Linked DNA regions of Caenorhabditis elegans. The protein of the gene in region 2 interacts with the protein of the main gene of each other region in a pairwise test. Each region holds a gene or a part of one and is shown on either strand. Other genes may lie near its edges.

What was found. Proteins that work in one complex are often made in the same cells at the same time.
Region 1: the proteins of sop-2 (region 2) and sor-1 interact in binary tests that used the Caenorhabditis elegans proteins (3 or more experiments, as listed by UniProt).

What each region holds. Positions count from the first base shown.
Region 1 is NC_003281.10:8,415,958-8,424,561, forward strand, and holds sor-1 (Sop-2-related protein 1), read left to right. Parts: upstream 1-2,210; coding exon 2,211-2,216; intron 2,217-3,247; coding exon 3,248-3,408; intron 3,409-3,621; coding exon 3,622-4,900; intron 4,901-4,955; coding exon 4,956-5,372; intron 5,373-5,835; coding exon 5,836-6,363; intron 6,364-6,416; coding exon 6,417-6,467; 3' UTR 6,468-6,697; downstream 6,698-8,604. UniProt on the Caenorhabditis elegans protein: Acts synergistically with sop-2 to maintain the transcriptionally repressive state of homeotic genes throughout development. Not required to initiate repression, but to maintain it during later stages of development.
Region 2 is NC_003280.10:12,337,663-12,346,640, reverse strand, and holds sop-2 (Polycomb protein sop-2), read right to left. Parts: upstream 6,698-8,978; 5' UTR 6,696-6,697; coding exon 6,606-6,695; intron 6,270-6,605; coding exon 6,203-6,269; intron 5,986-6,202; coding exon 5,490-5,985; intron 4,719-5,489; coding exon 4,373-4,718; intron 4,012-4,372; coding exon 3,136-4,011; intron 3,085-3,135; coding exon 3,022-3,084; intron 3,007-3,021; exon of another isoform or gene 2,953-3,006; intron 2,507-2,952; coding exon 2,231-2,506; 3' UTR 1,846-2,230; downstream 1-1,845. Other genes in the region: ras-1 (R-RAS related), read left to right, coding at 444-562, 829-931; C44C11.6 (Transcriptional regulator), read right to left, coding at 1,355-1,489, 1,775-1,807; sre-52 (Serpentine Receptor, class E (epsilon)), read right to left, coding at 8,548-8,740, 8,791-8,924. UniProt on the Caenorhabditis elegans protein: Polycomb group (PcG) protein. PcG proteins act by forming multiprotein complexes, which are required to maintain the transcriptionally repressive state of homeotic genes throughout development.

The DNA.
Region 1 (8,604 bases), on a different chromosome or scaffold from region 2:
TTTTGTAGACAGAAATAAAATTGATATAGTCTCCAGAGTGAGGATATGTGCATTTTACCAAGTGGTGACCGGAGGGACACTTGTGAAAACAAGCTACCGTAGTCTTTACAATTGGTTCTCTTCCAAAAGGTCAAAATATCTATCATCTAACTTGGACCTGGTTAATCAAATGTTCTAACTCATATCTTTGTAAATAAATCAAACAATGATTCTGCACAACACTATGGAAAAGCGAATGGCAATTCTTGAACTGTAATTTAAAAGCAGTTATGACAATTAATATAAAATACTCTTCCAAATTTTCTTCTTCAAAGACATCCAGTTCAGAAGAGCTGAAACCTAAAACATACATTCCAGCTTATTACCAGCCACCAGTTTCTATGCCTAAATACTACGTTAACTGGTTGAGAATAAAGTTATCCTTGAATAAACTCAAAGTTAGTTTCTTTGATATTGGTTACCAAGTTGTAACGTATATCGTGCTCTCTTCATCATATCAAACATCATTCAATCTCTCAACGTCATTTACTGATATCGGACACCCGATGAGTCAATTGTTTACGTTTCCCGTCGTAATGAATAATCTTCAGAAGTTAATCTACCGTACTTGTACAGTAAGGGAAAAGTTGCCGATTGCCAACATTTTTTGATGTTCGGCAACTTTGGAAATTGACAATACCAATTTGAAATTTTATTTTATTATGAAAAATATATTCAGAGAGCCTGAAAGAAGCGAACCTTTTTCTCATATTATTTTTCAGAATATAAGGGCAATATATTTGTTTGACCAATGCCAAAACTTTAACCAGTATCAGGAAAGTAGCCGAAAGTTTTCAGCTGGTCAAGTTAGGTAACTTCCGGTTGTTGTCCATTCCTACTATATTTAGTTGTTCCATAAATTGTATTTTCTAAGATTTACTAATTGCTAGATCTTAAGACTTTGCCTCCATTTTGGAGCTGCTCTTTAATCAAAATCAAAAATTTCCAGCTCATTAACTCCATGGTACTCCAATTTCAGTAATTATTCTACAGTAATCCTCCGGATGAAGGACACGTCTCTTCCGCCACTTGAAAACCCATCAAACGGGGGAACATATCTCTTTAACCTAATTACCGTATTCCCCTCCATTGCGCTTTCATTCAATTATTCGTGGCGGGGGGACACTGGGCCGTCCATCTCGATTTTCTCTTTCTCTCTCTCTGTTCTTTTTTTTTCTCTTTTCCCTCAACATAAAAATATATGCGCGCGCGCCTGGTGCCGTCCTTTCCGCCGCTCTCTTTCTTTTTCTCTTCGTTTCGTAAGCATCTATTTACACATATACACACTCACTCACACACACACATAAACCGAAACGAGAGAAAGATGAAAATAGTGTTGTGCTAGAGAGATAAAATGGGCGGAGTCAACGAATACGGTATCTCGCACCCTCTGCTTAATTGTTTACGTCCCGCCGTCGCTGACAGCTTTTAGAGGATCCTTCAGTATACACACACACACACACACACACACTCACACACTCACACACGAGCATATAATTCTATGATTGATCGATTTGGCGGCAAGTTCCACAGCGGGCTCCGAGAGCACCACAGGGTCCGATGAGAAGACTGCTCTCTTCATTTCACCCACTGTCTAACTTCCAGTGTTGTCTCTTGAATGTGTCATTCAAGAAAGCGCACACACCCTCGTTCACTCTTTTTCTCTGCATCTCTTGTCCTCATCTCTCTTTGTCGATAGTCGTTAAATGCGATGGAAGGCAGGCGAAAAGGATTACTGTATCTCTGACACTACCCACCCCGCCCTTTCGTGAAAGGCTCAACAACAAGGAGGCGTGTCGATGGCCTCCGATTGGTCGATGCAGAATTAGTTGTGTATCTGCCTCATTTCTCTAGACCCTCTTGTTTCCAAGGAATATTTCTCTGTGACTGCCTTTCTGCAGATTCTCTTGCCCCTTGTGTTTCGTTCTGTAGCCAGTCCTCTTCTCCTTTCTCCCCTTCCTTCGTCTGTCCATTTTCCAAACTTTGTTCTCTCCTGTCCATATAGTTTTTCAGTTGTTAAGATGAAAAAGTATAGTTGCATGATATCTAATCAATGTATGACCCCATCATGACTTGTACTTTTACTGTAACAATTGAATTATTGATTTTTCTGAAGGCGGCGGTGGCGGCGGCGGCCAGTTAGGAAACATGCTAAATTTCTATTTTGATTGATGTTGGTAAGTTTCGGATAAATGTTTAATTCTCTTTTCACAATTTCTCATGCATCTTCATACTTTCCTTTGTGCTTCACCTTCTGAAAAGCTGTGACCCGCATGTGCCCATCTTTATAATTATAAATTTTCGTTTTTTTTTCATTAAGTTCTCTTTTTCTAATAAACAAAACATCAGTCACTACTGACGCCAGAGCTGACATCATAAAAAACATAGAGTGATTTGTGTATTTTTTGATATATCCTTTTTCCAAAACTCAAATAATTTAATATCTAGATTTTTTTAAATTTGATTTTATATGTTTTTTTTTGAATTTTGGAAGATATTCTCGTAAAATTCGTCAATTTTGCAAATTTCAGTTTTTTTTAACTTTCAAAACGCTTATTCCTGAAAAATTTGTAATTCTTTCTCATAAGTGTTAAGTGTTTATTGTTCCGAAGTAGCATCTATGTTTAGAGTTTTCCCTCTTCTTCTGATCTACAGTATGGAAAAAAAATTGGCGAAATTTCTGGAGATCAAATGAAGAGGGCGCTCACAGACTACCCGTGAAATTTAGCTGATAACTTTTAGCTGAACATTTCAAAGAGCATATGTTTGACCTCCAAATATTGCGCTTTTAAATTTGGAAGATGTTCTCCTTAATCGTTTCTAAAAGGTTTCTGAGCTTTTAAGAAAATGATGTTATCTCTATCTTGATCAAAATCTTACTGAAAAGAGCAACAATATTAGTGTTTGCATACTGATTACGGTGTACACTTCTCTCAGCGGCGCCCTTTGAATTCTTTTTTGTCTCTCGTTCATAACTACGACTTGTTCTCACCGTTCCGACTTGAAACCCCATAAACCGCGAGAAAAGAATCCAATAAATAAGTGATGAAGAGGGATTTCTTTCTCTTTTTCTCTGCTCCCTTACACTGTCTAATCCGTCCCCCCTCCATCCTTAAATCTCCCAAATGGATTCGTTTTCTTTTTCACCGTTCTGATGTAATCCTTCGTATAATCTTTCTCTCGCTCACTTCAACAGAAGAATTTTCAGATAATGTCGAGTGAACCTGCGTCTTCGTCTACAGAAAAAGTCCCGGAGGAGCCACATCCACACTCTATCAAGCACAAATTTCAAGGGCCACAATTTGTGATCCCCCGAGCATTGAGCGATTACGTGTTGAATGTGAACAATCAGACTCCTGAATCTTATGAGTAAGCTTTACAATTTTACTTTTTTTTGTAGCCTAAGAAATTGTAGTTTTCTATTATTATTGGTCTGCCAAAATATATGTGCAAATAAAAAAAAACGATTTTAGAGTTAGTTGAACCTTTAAATATAAGTTTATTGAGATAGAACATAAAAAATTGCAGAAACATACATGAAGATAAGATTTAGAAAAATAACTTTAATTTCCCAATTTCCAGAAAAGCACTGAACGCCAAATATGGAAGAGATGACTACATCACCTTATGCCTCCACGTCACAAGTCTTTGCACAGAATATGGCCCACTTGATGACGGGCCTGAATATGTACTTCTTTGTGATTCACGAGCTCGTGTTGACAAGCTGATCGAGGATCTCGTCAAGTTGTTAGAGATCGACACAGACTACGTACAACTAGAGTTGCATGGTGGAAAGCGCCTTCATCTTCAGAAACCCGATGCAGTTCTCCGTGATATTGCATATAAACAGAGCAACGAGGGATCTGACAAGTTCTTTTTGGAGATGAAGCTTGTGCCTTCGGAGTCAATGAAAGCGAAAATTATGAAGCAAGAGGAAGAAGAAGAGAAAGCAAGAAAACATGGGCAATATCAACAATATCAAGAGTATCACCAACAACATCAAGCAATGAATGATGGACAAAGTAGCTCGAGTGTACCTTCAACTAGCTCTCCGTCATGCTCCAGTGAGGCAAATCGGAAGGAAATGGAAACAGTGCGTGAACCAGCTGGACCGTCAGAATTGATGAGGGCTATAAATGCTCCAGTTGCTCCTGCCCCGGTTGTAATCAAGATTGAAACTCCTGTTGCATTGCCAGAAGAAGATGAAACACTGATGGATGATGATGAAATGCCTTCGCTAACTGTAGAAGCACCAAGTGAAGAAGCTTCATTTGAAGCTGAACAACCTTCTCCACAAGTCCCACAAGCCTCAATTGAGGGACCATCTCAACAGCAACAAATTCCTGGAACTTCTCAACAGAAAAGACAAGTTGCTCGTGGATCTCGTACTAATATGATTTCCTATCATGATTTACCACCTGGCACTGGAAATGCTCCTCCGATGGCTTGTCCTCAAGTTACACTCAAACTTGAAAAAAATGTTCCATTTGAAGCGAAAATCCGTGCAGTTGCTGGGTACACTCGAAAACCAATTTCTGAAGTTCAAAAAATGAGACCGAGTGATCTGGAGAGCATCTTCCATTCGATCTGCATTGCCAGCGTTCAAAGAATAAAGAGAAGAAATGAACTTGTTCAACAGCTACAGGAAATCAATGCCCAATCTTGTAAAAGTCCGACAATGACTATGAACAAGAAGTTCACATTGGCAAAGGCGTATCAAAGGGTCCAGAATGAAATTGAAAAAATTGATCGAGAGCAAATACTTCCTCAACAGTACATGAACATGCCACCAATGCCACCACAAGGACAGCAAAGATTGCCTCCACCAGCATATCCACCTGGTATTCTGCCACCACAACAGGTAGGTTTTCAGAAACCTGGAAAATTAGTTCAATTTTTTATACTTTAATTTCCAGAATCGTCAACAAGGCGTACCTCCACAATTCCAACGTTCACCGCAATTTATGATTGGACCAGATGGACAGCGTTATGCACATCCATATATGCAACTTCCAAATTCAAACCAAAGAGCTCGAATTCTGAATACTTCATCTGTGCAGCCGTCTGAAGAAGTACGCAATCGCCTCGTGAAGATTGAAGCAATGGCGATGAATATGGCACAACTGAACCCACCTCGACCACCTCCTCCACAGCCACCACATCGAGCTCTCCAAGGAGAACTGCAGTTTTTGAGACCTGGAGCACCGGATCCGTGCAACTTTAGGCCAGATTCTAAGCAGACATATAACAATACATATGTGACTGTTGCATCACCAGCGACGCTCACCAATTCAATCATTCCATGGCACTTCCCGCCATATGAAAAATCAGGAGTAAGTTATACTCTTAAATTTAATAAATCTTCAATAATAGGCAAGCACGGTTTCAAATCTTTGTGCCTGCCTACCGCCTATGTAGATTGTTAAAATTGATGTTTCTGGCAGGAAATCTTACCCTTGAGAATTGCTTTTGACATCAAACTCATTATTTTGGTTGATTTTTTAAAGAGATAGTTAAACATCTATTAAGGTGAAGTTGTAGTAGTTTGAACACGTATCAAAGTCTTGAATTCCTCAAAAGCCCTTAAGTTTTTCAAAAATTCTCACTTTATCAAAACTTTGACAGAGTATTTTTGGTCAAGCTGAATAGTTTGACATGCATTCAATCAAAATTCATTCATTCAACAAACTTACTACTTCACCTTCAATGAATTCTCAGTAAATGCAGGGTTTCGTATAAGTGCCAGTTTTGTTCAAAATCATTGATAAAGTTTCAAAATTAAATTAAAGTTTTCAGAGATTGAATGTGAGCAACACAATAAAAGCTATCAACGAGTATCGTCTTCTGTGCAATTCTCGACAGGCTGATCCAGCAAGTTTCCTCGAATTCTACTTCCTTGGTGATCCAATGCCACACTTCAATAAAATTCTTTCAATTGCTGATTACAATATGTATTTGTCTCGAAGACGATGCGATGAGGCAGATGTCAAGATTCATCGAATGTCGCACAGTGATCAATTGCAATTGTACCTTTTGGAACTTCAATCCGACGAGTCAAATGTGGAAAAATGGAAGACATTCTATAGAATTATGCAGTGGGATTTGCCACTAAACAATGAGTTTCCAAGAATACTTCTACCATCTTCATTAGACATCGGAAGACCAGTTGTTGATAGAAAGAAGAAATCAATTGATCAGGTTATGAATCATATACATCGAATGCATAGTCAACGCCCACCAAGCATGGGAAACTCTTCCACATCTTCTGAAGCTTCATCTACCAGTCCAACAAATGCTGCAACAGCGACCAGTTCTCCAGCATCGGTATGTTAATTTTCTAGGAATTTTGGAATTATTTTAAATTCAACTTTTTACAGAACCGACCAACGACTTCTACAGCACAACCACCAACTTTAAATCCAACATAAATTTTAATTCAATATAAATTTGTAAATAATTATGTTTGTTACCAAACCATATTTTGTGTACCTCTTCCGTTTTTTTCCTCTGTCGGGTTTTTGCTTTTGTCTTATTTTTTACGCTTCTAGTAGTAGTGATCTTAAAACTTTGCTCTCATTTACCTATTTTTAGATGAGTTAGTTTCTTTTTTTGTCTGTTTTACACAATCATCACACAATAAACATTTTATTTGGAGAATCGTTATGCGAAGCGTCTGAAAACAAGAACAGTATTTAAGAAAGCAAGTAGCAATGAAGCAATTTTATAATTGGACCAGCACCAATATACTTTCAACCGGATGGTTGTGAAAATTTAAATTTTGAACTACCGCGCCAATCAGAATGTTTCCACCAATAACCAACTAAGCACGCAAAAAAGTTTCTTTTTTCAATTTGTCGATTTTTTGGTTACTACGAATTGATCGATATAATACAATAATTCCAAAAATATTGGCAGATCACATAAAATCCGCAGATTCATAAAATCTGTGTACTTCCTTTTGTAGATAGCACACGTTGATTTGTCAATCCAGATAATTTATAACTAAGCTTACAGAAGTTAGCAGTAGTATTTCATTTATTCCCAGATCCCTAATTCTGATAGTCAGCAAAAATTGGTAAACTTTTTTTTGGCAAAACTTAAATTCTTATACAATCTTGCAGAACAAACTTTTCATTAGAATTTTCAGGTAACGTCGATCAACTTGAACATTTTGCTATTGTGGTTAACCAATAGGATCTGCATAGGAAGATATTGCTTGTTGAGAAATTACTTGCACAAACTGTTCAACTAGCTAAAGTTTGTGGAACAATTGATAAATTTTATGGATATGACGTTTTAACGGATTGCCAAACTAATCGATATGTGATACATTTGAATAAACTTAAACTCTAAAATTCTAAAGTTTTAAGCTACACCGATATTACTATAGTGCGAGGACGTGCTAATAGTAAGTTGTGGTAAATATTTTAAGAATTCTTTTGATGTGGCAGCTGTGAAACAGACAACAATGAATATCCAACTAGTTAAATCTACAATTTCAATATTTGTAATCATTCTTGGATTGGTCAGAGACCCACATTGTTTGAGATTCTTTCAATATCAAAAGTAGCAAAATATTAGTCGGAAATTTTCATTAAAAAATCAATACATGTATAAAGTTTTCACTCAAAAGGACCAGGCAATTTGATGCCATTTTCCCTGTTGAAATTCTTAGTAGTGTGTAAAGTTAAAACTACCGATAAAATCTGGTTGAAAACTAAATCTTCTTGGAATATTCAATAAAAAGTCAAACGAAACAAAAGTAGTTGAATTATAGATTCAAGACTATTCCGAAATGTTTTGAATCATAAAGTCATAATTGCTACAATTATTTAATTATACGTTTTTGGGCGTCTTATTTTATTTTTAAAATTTGATATCTGAAATCTCATATTTTGTTTGTTCAACATGTGATGTTTCTCAGAGCCTTTGGGCATTCTATAGATGCTTTCGTACGAGAAGTAATGATAGCGTCAGAAAAATCGGGATTGATATCAAGAATTTGTTCAGTAAGTGGCAATCAAAAAATATTTGGCTCAACTGTGACTCAGATAACATACCGTACTTTTATCGCCCGGCATAAATTGTAAAATATTCCTATAGATTGAATACGGTATTATCCGCATGACAGAAGTATGCGCGTAAAATGTAGTATCAACTTTAGATGTCTTCGGAATAACATCATGTCTTTGAAAGAGCTTTTTCCATAAGTACAGTAATCCCATTACGTTTCTTACAGTCAACAAACCCAGAGTGGAAACAACAACTTTCCAACGATTATAGCATAATTCGTAAATTGTATCGGAGGAGTTGTAACTCTCCATACTCCATTTATAAAATGAAGTCATACCTGATATTGTTTCTGAGAAAATTTCACACTTTGTTTCTTGATAAAATTTGATATTTTTTATGTTTTTTGGAGCACCAAAACTACTGAATTCTTAACACACATCTGGTTTCTGAATAAGTTCCGCGTAGTATGTCTGTTTAAGCATCAAAATAGCTCAATTTTGTATTATTTTACTAAATTTTTGGCTAAAAAATCACTTGTTTTAGTCAAAATTG
Region 2 (8,978 bases):
CTGTGTCAATATATACTTTTATGTAATTCAACATATATTTTTTATCGAAAACAAATATTGGAGGGTGTCTTTAGAACTTTCAAGAGAGCACTTGAAACATTGAAACATGCACAAAACACTCGAAACATATGTGTGTGTGAGTCTCACGAAAAACGTTTGCAATTCAAAACATCTGTGTCGGATTTCGCATTGAAGGGGTTTTAAAGTTTTAAAATTTTAAAATTTAAGCAGAGTTTTTTGGGCTCGAATCCATGGCTTCGGATTCAGTGGCGAGCCACTTACCGGCTGAGCCATGCGCGCTGCGCTGCATAGCTCAGCCGGTAAGAGGCTTGCCTTTGGAGCAAAAGGTCACGGTTCGACCCCCCAGAATGGCTATTAGGTTTTTTACACTGAATATGTTAAATTTCCCATAAAAAATTATCGAATAAAACCTCGAATTTCAGGTAGCCCGACATGAAGCCGAGGAGCTCGCACACCGACTCTCAATACCATATTTGGAGTGCTCGGCAAAAATTCGAAAAAATGTTGATGAAGCGTTTTTTGATATTGTGAGATTAGTCAGGTAAGAAATTTGAAAAAAATTAATTAAAAATCCCCAACTGGGGCTAGCGGGCTCGAACCCGCGACCCTTTGTCTCAAACCCCATCCTCTTACCGACTGAGCCATGCTCGAGTTTCAGATGAAACTTTTGCGTGCGTGGCTCAGTGGGTAAGAGGTTTGGCTGCTAAGCAGAAGGTCACAGGTTCGAGTTCTCGAGGTCGTTTATAGGTTTATAGGTTTTTCAACGCGCTGAGTTTGAATTTCATACTTAAAATCTCGAAATTTCAGAAAATACCAACATGACGAGCGCATGCCCATCCACCCCCATGACGATCGGAAGCTCGAATCACCGATCAAGCTGAAGAAGAAAAAGAATTGCAGGATTCAATAAACTCCAGAAACTCAATTAATCTATTCCAGTCCGATACGACATTCAACATTGGAAGATACTTCAAAAACCTTCAAAAAATGTGAATAGTCGAACCGGAGAGTCAATCCTTCATGACTTTCATACGATATACTGCACCCTCTTCTGAAAATTTTTAACTTGCTGCCTTTAAACTCCTTCTCTCCACTTCAAAACGGGATTTCTTTGGTTTTCTATTGCTTTTAAAATGTTTTTTTTTCCTCTGATTCTAGCCCCTTCTTGTACAGTTCCAACAAAATATTTATTCCATATCCTACCACCCTACCCGTTGTGCCCGTTATCCCGAGTACAAATCTCTCTCAAATTTCGACCAAAAATCTGATATGCGCTCTACTGATAGCCCTGTGAACCCATTTTCTTTTAGAGTAATAAAAAACGTGAGAATATTTATTTTTGTTCGACGACTGGTTGGGCGATTGCCTTGACGACTTGGACGGCTTCACGGGATGATGGTGAAGCTTGTACGGCCGAGTCTTTGAGCACCTTCTCGCGACTTGCACTTCTCGATCGAGATTTTCCGATCTGAAAATGTTTACTTCAGTTCAAGGACTCGAACCAGTGGCCTTCTGTTTGCAAGTCAAGCTCGTTACCCACTGAGCCATGCCGACAATTTTTTGCGGTGCTGTGCGGCCAGTGGCTCAGCCGGTAAGAGGCTCAGCTTTAAGGGAAAAGATCACAGGTTCGATTCCTGACGTCGGTGGAGGTCGGTGGACTTGAACCAGTGGCCTCCTGCTTGCCAGTCAAGCCTGTTACCCACTGAGCCACGTGTGCTCAGCCGGTAAGAGATTTTTTAATTAAAAATCTCACATTTTTCATTGCATTCACAGCGTTCTTTAACATTTTTGTGTATCGTTCGCTTTGTGGAAACCAGAAATGAATATTTTTTAACTTTTCATATACAAAATGTCATTAACATTTAAAAAACTCGAAAAACATTTAATCATGAGGGCAAACGTGAACAGAAAAAATAAGGGTAAAACGGGTATTATGACAAAAATCGATTGATTATAGAATATAAAACATGTCTCTGTGAGTATCAAAGGGGAATTTAATAGTTAAAGAAATTGCAATCAACTTACAAAAAATTAAAATTATTAAAAATTAGAAAACTGCTGAAAGTTTTCTATCATCTAAGTAGGTCCAAATTAGGTAACGAGGAATGGGTAAAGCGGTAGGAGTCAATATGCAAGAGCTTGAAATGTCAGAAAAAACAACAAAAATATTAATTTTAACATTAAAATTAACATAAAAAAATTAACAGAGTTAACGCTGCTGAGCCTTCCAGGCAGCCAACTCCTCATGGAACTTTCTCAAATCAGCTTGATACTTTTCCGTACGATAATGGTTGAGCACCTCAGTCCCATAGATCTTCATCTTCTTATAATGACCATATGGAATTGGTACCTCTTTTCGAAAATCATCGTCCAACACAAGACAGGCCAGCGTTTCTCCGTCAAACTCCTCGCGAACCATAATTGCAATAGTGGAATCCACGTTGTTGGTGATGAGAAGCCGAACCCAGTTGATGAGATCTTGCGCCTGAAGCATAATTGTTTTAGAATGTGTTAAGTCGAAATCCAGAGCCTAAGCCTGAGCCTAAGCCTGAACCTATGCTTAAACCTGAGCCTAAGCCTAAGCCTAAGCCTAAGCTTAAGCCTAAACCTAAGCCTAAGCCTAATGCTGAGCCTAAGCCTAGGTCTAAGCCTGAGCCTAAGTCTAAACCTGAGCTTAAGCCTGAGCCAAAGTCTAAGCCAAAACCTAAACCTGAGCTTAAGCCTAAGCCAAAAGTCTAAGCCTACGCTTAAGCCTCAGGCTAAGCCTGAGACTAAGCCTGAACCTATGCTTAAACCAGAGCCTAAACCTGAGAGAGAGAGAGAGCCTAAGGCTAACCTATGCCTAATACTAAGCCTAAGCCTAAGCCTAGATCTGAACCTGAACTTGAGCCTGAGCCTATGCTTAAGCTGAAACCTAAGCCCAAACCAGAGCCTAAGCCTACGCCTAAGCCTAAGCCTACACCTAAGCCTAAGCCTAAGCCTGAGCCTTAAAAAACTTACGTTCCACCTTGTGTAGTCTGATGTCTTGTTGGGCGGCAAAATGAGCGTAGCTTCGTGGTTGTTCTGAAGAAAATTGTAATTAAAAATTAGTCGTCATATTCTGAAAATGGTTACCTCGACAAGTGTAGGCATCGCAGGTGGAACTGGCTCCGTTGACTGTGGATCCCTGACGATTGGAGCTGGAGCTGAAGCCAATTCGACTTTAACCACCGGAACAGTCTGCTGAACTGGAGGCTCTTCTGGCTGGGATGCTGGTGGAGCCTGAGGAGCTGTGAGACGTCTCAGCGGTTGTGGCGGGATCCGATTGATGTGCGGGACCTGCTGAATGATGTTTGGATGGCGACCGGCTGTCGGTGCTGCTGTGGAGATCACCTGCTCTTGCTGCAGAACTGGCGGAGTTTCAGACTCTGGTGGGGATCCGGTAAGCGAGAAAATCATCGCCCGGATCTTTCGTGGGGAATCCCGAGAGTCGGATGAAGCTGGAGTGGCTGGGGTAGCTGGAGCATCCGGTGGGGAGCTGGAGGTGGATGGTGGGGCTTCTTTGGTTGTGGCAGTAGCTGGAACTTCTGGAGCTGCCTCGGATCTTTTTGGGATTTTCTCGGCTGGCTCGTCGACCGGCTCTTTCTTTGGCTCCACGAGCTTCCCCGATCCTCCAGATGTCCTCTTCTGACCTCTTCTCGATCCTCGTCTATTGCCACCACCTCTACCTCCACGTGCATTTCTTGGAGTAGATGTGCTCGCGTCGTTATCCACCTCCATCTCAACCTCCTGCTCCTCAGCGGCGTCCGAATCTTCAGGCTTCTTCTTCTCGGCGGCTCGCCTTGGCAGAGACTTTCTCGGTTGAGCAGCAGGTGTCTCTGGTAGGGGTGCAGCAGGACGACGGCGTGATTCGGGCCACATGTGGCCGAGTTCGCCGACTCGGCCACCATCCTTGGGTCCCAAGTCCATGCTCATAAGACGGTCCATTTCGGTTGTGCGGATTTTCTGAAACTTTGAGAAAAAATTTTAATTTGTTCACGAACCTTTTTTTTAGAACCTTTTTTCAATTTTTAGAGCAAATTTCAGCTTTGAAAGTTTATATCTCAATTGGTTTTTGTCTTATAAAAATTTTGAAAACTGCAAAAATGTTTAGAATTAATTTTTCTATAATTTAAAATAAAAAATAAATAGAAAATATGCATTAGAGATTCAGTTACGAGTTGCCAAAGTAAAGCTTATAAATTGCTCCAATTTAAGTTATCAACAAATACTCAACTACGAAATTGTAAAAAAATGCGGTAATTATTTTGTTAGTTAAGAATTTTTCGAAAAAACAAAAACCGTCCGAGATACGAGCCTTCAAAAAGCTTACCTTTTTTTTCTCGCTAGTCGGTCTGGACGCTTCTCCTTCTTTAGATGTATCCATCTCGGTAGCCGCCGACACATTTGACAGATCCACAGCCGACTCTTGAGGCATCTCTGTGGCAATTGATGTGTCCATAACTTCTGCTGCCGGAGCTGCTTCAGGTGTTGCAGGAGCTGCTGGAGCCGCTGGAGCCATCGGAGCCGCTACTGGAGTCTCTGGAGCCACCTCTGCAGCTGGTGCAGGTCTTCTAGAAGGTGCTCCGCGAGCTGCACCTCTGAAAGCACCACGATAGCCGGGCCGTCCTCCCCTCCGAGCTGCCATTCTGCTCGAGCGAGCCGCGAACTTGTTGGTTCTGAAAACAGTTGATTGATTGTTATCACAGAAAATTGAAACATTGCTAACAAAAATTGATATAACGCGCGACAAAAAACATACACACAAGGTCACACACTGCTGGGAAAACATACATCGTTCCATGTTTACATGAATCTCTGGCACCCTCTCACTCTCCCCCCCTATCACCTTCAAACTTGGCGGCGTCGGTGTGCGAGAAGTTGGCAATAGGGCGCGTTTGTTATCTTGATAAAGTGTAGGGAAATTTAAGCTCAAAAATTTCAAAGACTTTGATCTACGTAGATCTACAAAAAATGCGGGAGAAGAGACGCAGAGTTCTCAACCGATTTTGTATCGTTAAGAACGTGCTGACGTCACATATTTTTGAGCAAAAAATTCCTACATTTTTTGTAGATCAAACCGTAATGAGACCACGGAAAAGACTGATATGATCAAAATCTGGAAGCCAGGCCATATGATAGTTGTGCGAAATATCGCACTTTTTTCCCTTCCGCCATGACTCAGATATTGCTTATTGTCCGTTTCATATTGCAATATTGAGTTTTGTTATCATTAACAATCATCCCACGACATTCTTTAATATCTATTTTTTTTCTTAGTTCAAGAATTCTAAACGCCTGAAAACGGCCTGAAAAACGGCCTGAACGTAGCTTTATGCGTATAAAAAACCACCCACAAATTGGTTAAATGTATGCGCTTTTTGGGCTTTTTGCTTTTGGGAATAATATATTTGCTAATTAATTTTTTGTTCTGAAGCTCTAGTGCCTACCTTTGCAGATTTCTCATAGCTCCTAGATCAATCGGAAGTTCCTGATCCTCATCAGATCCATCATAGAACACCGGCTCGACTTCCCCTTCTTCCATCTCTCGAGAAGCTTGCTCCAAAATGCTCGTCACCCGCTTCTCCACATGATCCGGCTCGTCGGCCATCGGGTCAGCAGTCCTTTGCAATTGCTCATCACGATCGAATATCGTATCATAACGTCCCCGGTTGAGATAGTATTGGAGCTTTGAGCTGACTGGTAGTGGGACAACCTTCTCGTGGAGCATCTCCTCCTCGGCAGTGTTGAGCACTTTGATGATGGAGTTGGTCGGCTCGAACGTTTGGCGGGAGCACACGGCTTTTTCGAATTTATGAGCAAAAATGTCGGCGGACAGGCGTACCGCTTCGTAGAACTGAGATCGGGGGTCTTTGCCCTCTAGCTTTTTGTCGAGTTTTGCATAATATTGAGCTTCTTTTGGTAAGCTGCTTGATGAGCATTGATCTGAAAAATTATTATTTTCACTAATTGTAAGCAAGTTTCAAAAATTGAAGGTCTAGTAGAGCTTTAAAAAACTACAAAATTTTGGTAAATTTCCGAGAAATTCGGAAATTGGGGTTTTTTGAAAATTGGCAATTTGCCAAAACGGAGTTTATATTATAACTTGAGCACCAAAATTGCAATTATTAATTTTTCTATAATATATTTGAAAAATACTCACCTTCCAATGCATTTTCAACTTCGTGCTTTTCCGGTCGAACCACTTGAGATGTCGATCGTCGAGTGGACTGAAAGTTTTAAAACTATTGTAACTTATTGGGACGGTTAGCTATCAAAAAATTGTCAACTAATAAAATGTAGATAAATTTTGGTACTCCAAAGTGTTAGTTAACAATTTTTCCATATCTCTATTTTCCGGCAAGTTAGAGGGTTTTGAAGTTGATAATTACTAAATTTGTTTCTTTTTTTTTAACCCCTATATCTCATTGGAAAATAACTGGGCAACATTTGATAAAATATAAAAAATAGTTTAAAAAAATATTGAGCTGGGTATAAATCATTTGTTTTGTGTAAAAGTAGTGGAGAAACGATTATTTTTATTTTTAAAAATTTGTAAACTATACCTTATCCCTTTCATTTCCCTTCACAGCCTCCGGGGGCTCTACAATTGCAGATGTTGATGACATCTCATTACTGGTCAAGTTTGAACTCATTTCTTTTGAAAAAATTAATTTAAATGTATGTTGCAGTGAAATTCAATAAAACAATCTCCCGCTGAGAGGGGAGCGTCAAGATTCGTGATGGAGCGCGATTGCTCGTATAGTGGGGGGGGGGGGGGGGGGTGTATGGTACTTGGGATTTTGTTTCAAAAATGATTACACAAGGAAAATAAATTTTTAAATAAGTAGAGGTAGATTTTTTACACAAAAAAATCAATAAAATTCTGGAAATGTTTCTTTTCTAAAAAAAAAACTGTCAATTCAACTTTCAGACACTCCAAAAAGTTATGCCCGATCTTCACAATAAAAACTCGTATCTCACAGAAATTCGCAGAAAACTTTTAGATACCGGTAGCCTAAATTTGAAAAGAAAACTAAATTTTAACCAAAATGGTTTTAAAATAAAATTTTAAATACTTTAATTTTCACATTATATTTTCGATCAAAACACTAAAATAATTTTAAAAAAATAAAAAACGAAAACAGCAAACAAAAAAGTGCGAGTGACCAAATCAATCAATGCGAGTCGCAGTGGAGAGTGTGTGATGCGCGCACGCTCACCCCCACTCAAACTCACAGTCACACCTCCCCGACCCTCTTCTTTCACCACAGTGTCTCGTCGACTCGAACGATGATTGGTTTACGGGCGGGGCAATTGGGCAAAAGAGTGAGGAGATGATGGGGAATTGTATGACGACGAAGAATTATGTGGAGAGAGGAAGATTGAAGGGGAATAGTGCAAGAGAAGTTAAGCCCTGATTAGATATAAAAAGAGGATGGCTTATGGATATATGTATATGTATAAGGATTAAAAAAATACATTCCAATTATTTTGTGTATTATATAATTATATGTGTTTATAACAATCATCACCATAACTTATAGCAGATTATTCAATTTTTGGAGGTATAAACCAGGGAAAGGCGGCAATTGCCGTTCGGCAAATATTTCGTCGACAAATTCGGCAAATTGCCGGTTTGCAGATTTGCCGGTAATGTTCAAATCCGGCAATGTGCCGATTTGCCGGAAATTTTTATTTTCAGCAAAGTGCCGGTTTGCAGATTTGCCGGTAATGTTCAAATCCGGCAATTCGCCGATTTGCCGGAAATTTTTATTTTCAGCAAAGTGCCGGTTTGCAGATTTGCCGGAAATATTCAAATCCGGCAATCTGCCGGTTTGCCGGTTTGCCGGATGTTTTCATTTCGGTAAATTGCCGATTTGCCAGAAGTCTTCAATTTCGGCAATTTGCCCATTTGCCGTTTTCCGGTTATCAATTTGTCGGAAATGTTTAGAGGAATTTTATGTAAGACGGAAACCCTTAAAACTGTGCCTTTGTGAAATGTTTTCCCGTTTTCTTTAGATATTTTCATAGAATTGTCTACTTCTAAAAATAGATGTATGAGCATTCCTAGGATGAGTGCAATTTTTCCGATCAAATTTGAAATTTTTAAATTTCCAAAAAAAAATGTGCAAACCCACAATTTGCCGAAAATTTACAGCAAAGTCGGCAAATCGGCAATTAGCCGGTTTGCCGATTTGCCGGAAATTTTCAATTCCGGTAATTTGCCGATCTGCTGATTTGCCGGAAAAAATCTTTCGCGGCCCACCCCTGTATAGATGCCAAGGCTTTTAAAATCACAAGTTTCCGGGGGACACCAGTAACGTAGGAAAAATAATGTTTCATATTCTTTTTTTCATAAACTTTCGATAAAAATAGGGACTTTATAATTTTTCAATTTTTATTTTCAGACGGTTATTTCATGTAAGATTGAAAATATTGTTGAAATTTGCACTCAAAAAACTAAAAATTTTCAATTAAGTTCAAAATATTTATTATCAAAAAATCTCAATTCTTCAACTCCCACGTGTTCTGCAACTGATTAAAATAGAAATCGGTTTCCTGTGCCACATTCTGCCCGGATAACGAAACCGGACGTTGGCTCTTCAGAGCAATGCAATCAACTTTCCGGAAGAACGGGATTGCCTTGCTCCACGGGCTCACTGAGAGTATTAACACTGGGCAGACTATCAGGGGATTGCTGAAATTTTAAGATTTATAAGCAGTTTCCTTTGTTTGGAGGATACTTACAGATGCACCAAATTTTGAAAACAGAAGACGAATAACGTGCTATACGACGGAATCCATTTGTAGTTTATGGCTATAACACAGCAAATTCCTATAATCAGAAGGGAGAAGCCGACAATTATGATTCGAATTGTTAGCTGAAAATTGATTAGTGCAGTTTTTCCTGTTGCTTTGGTAATTTTTTTTAAATA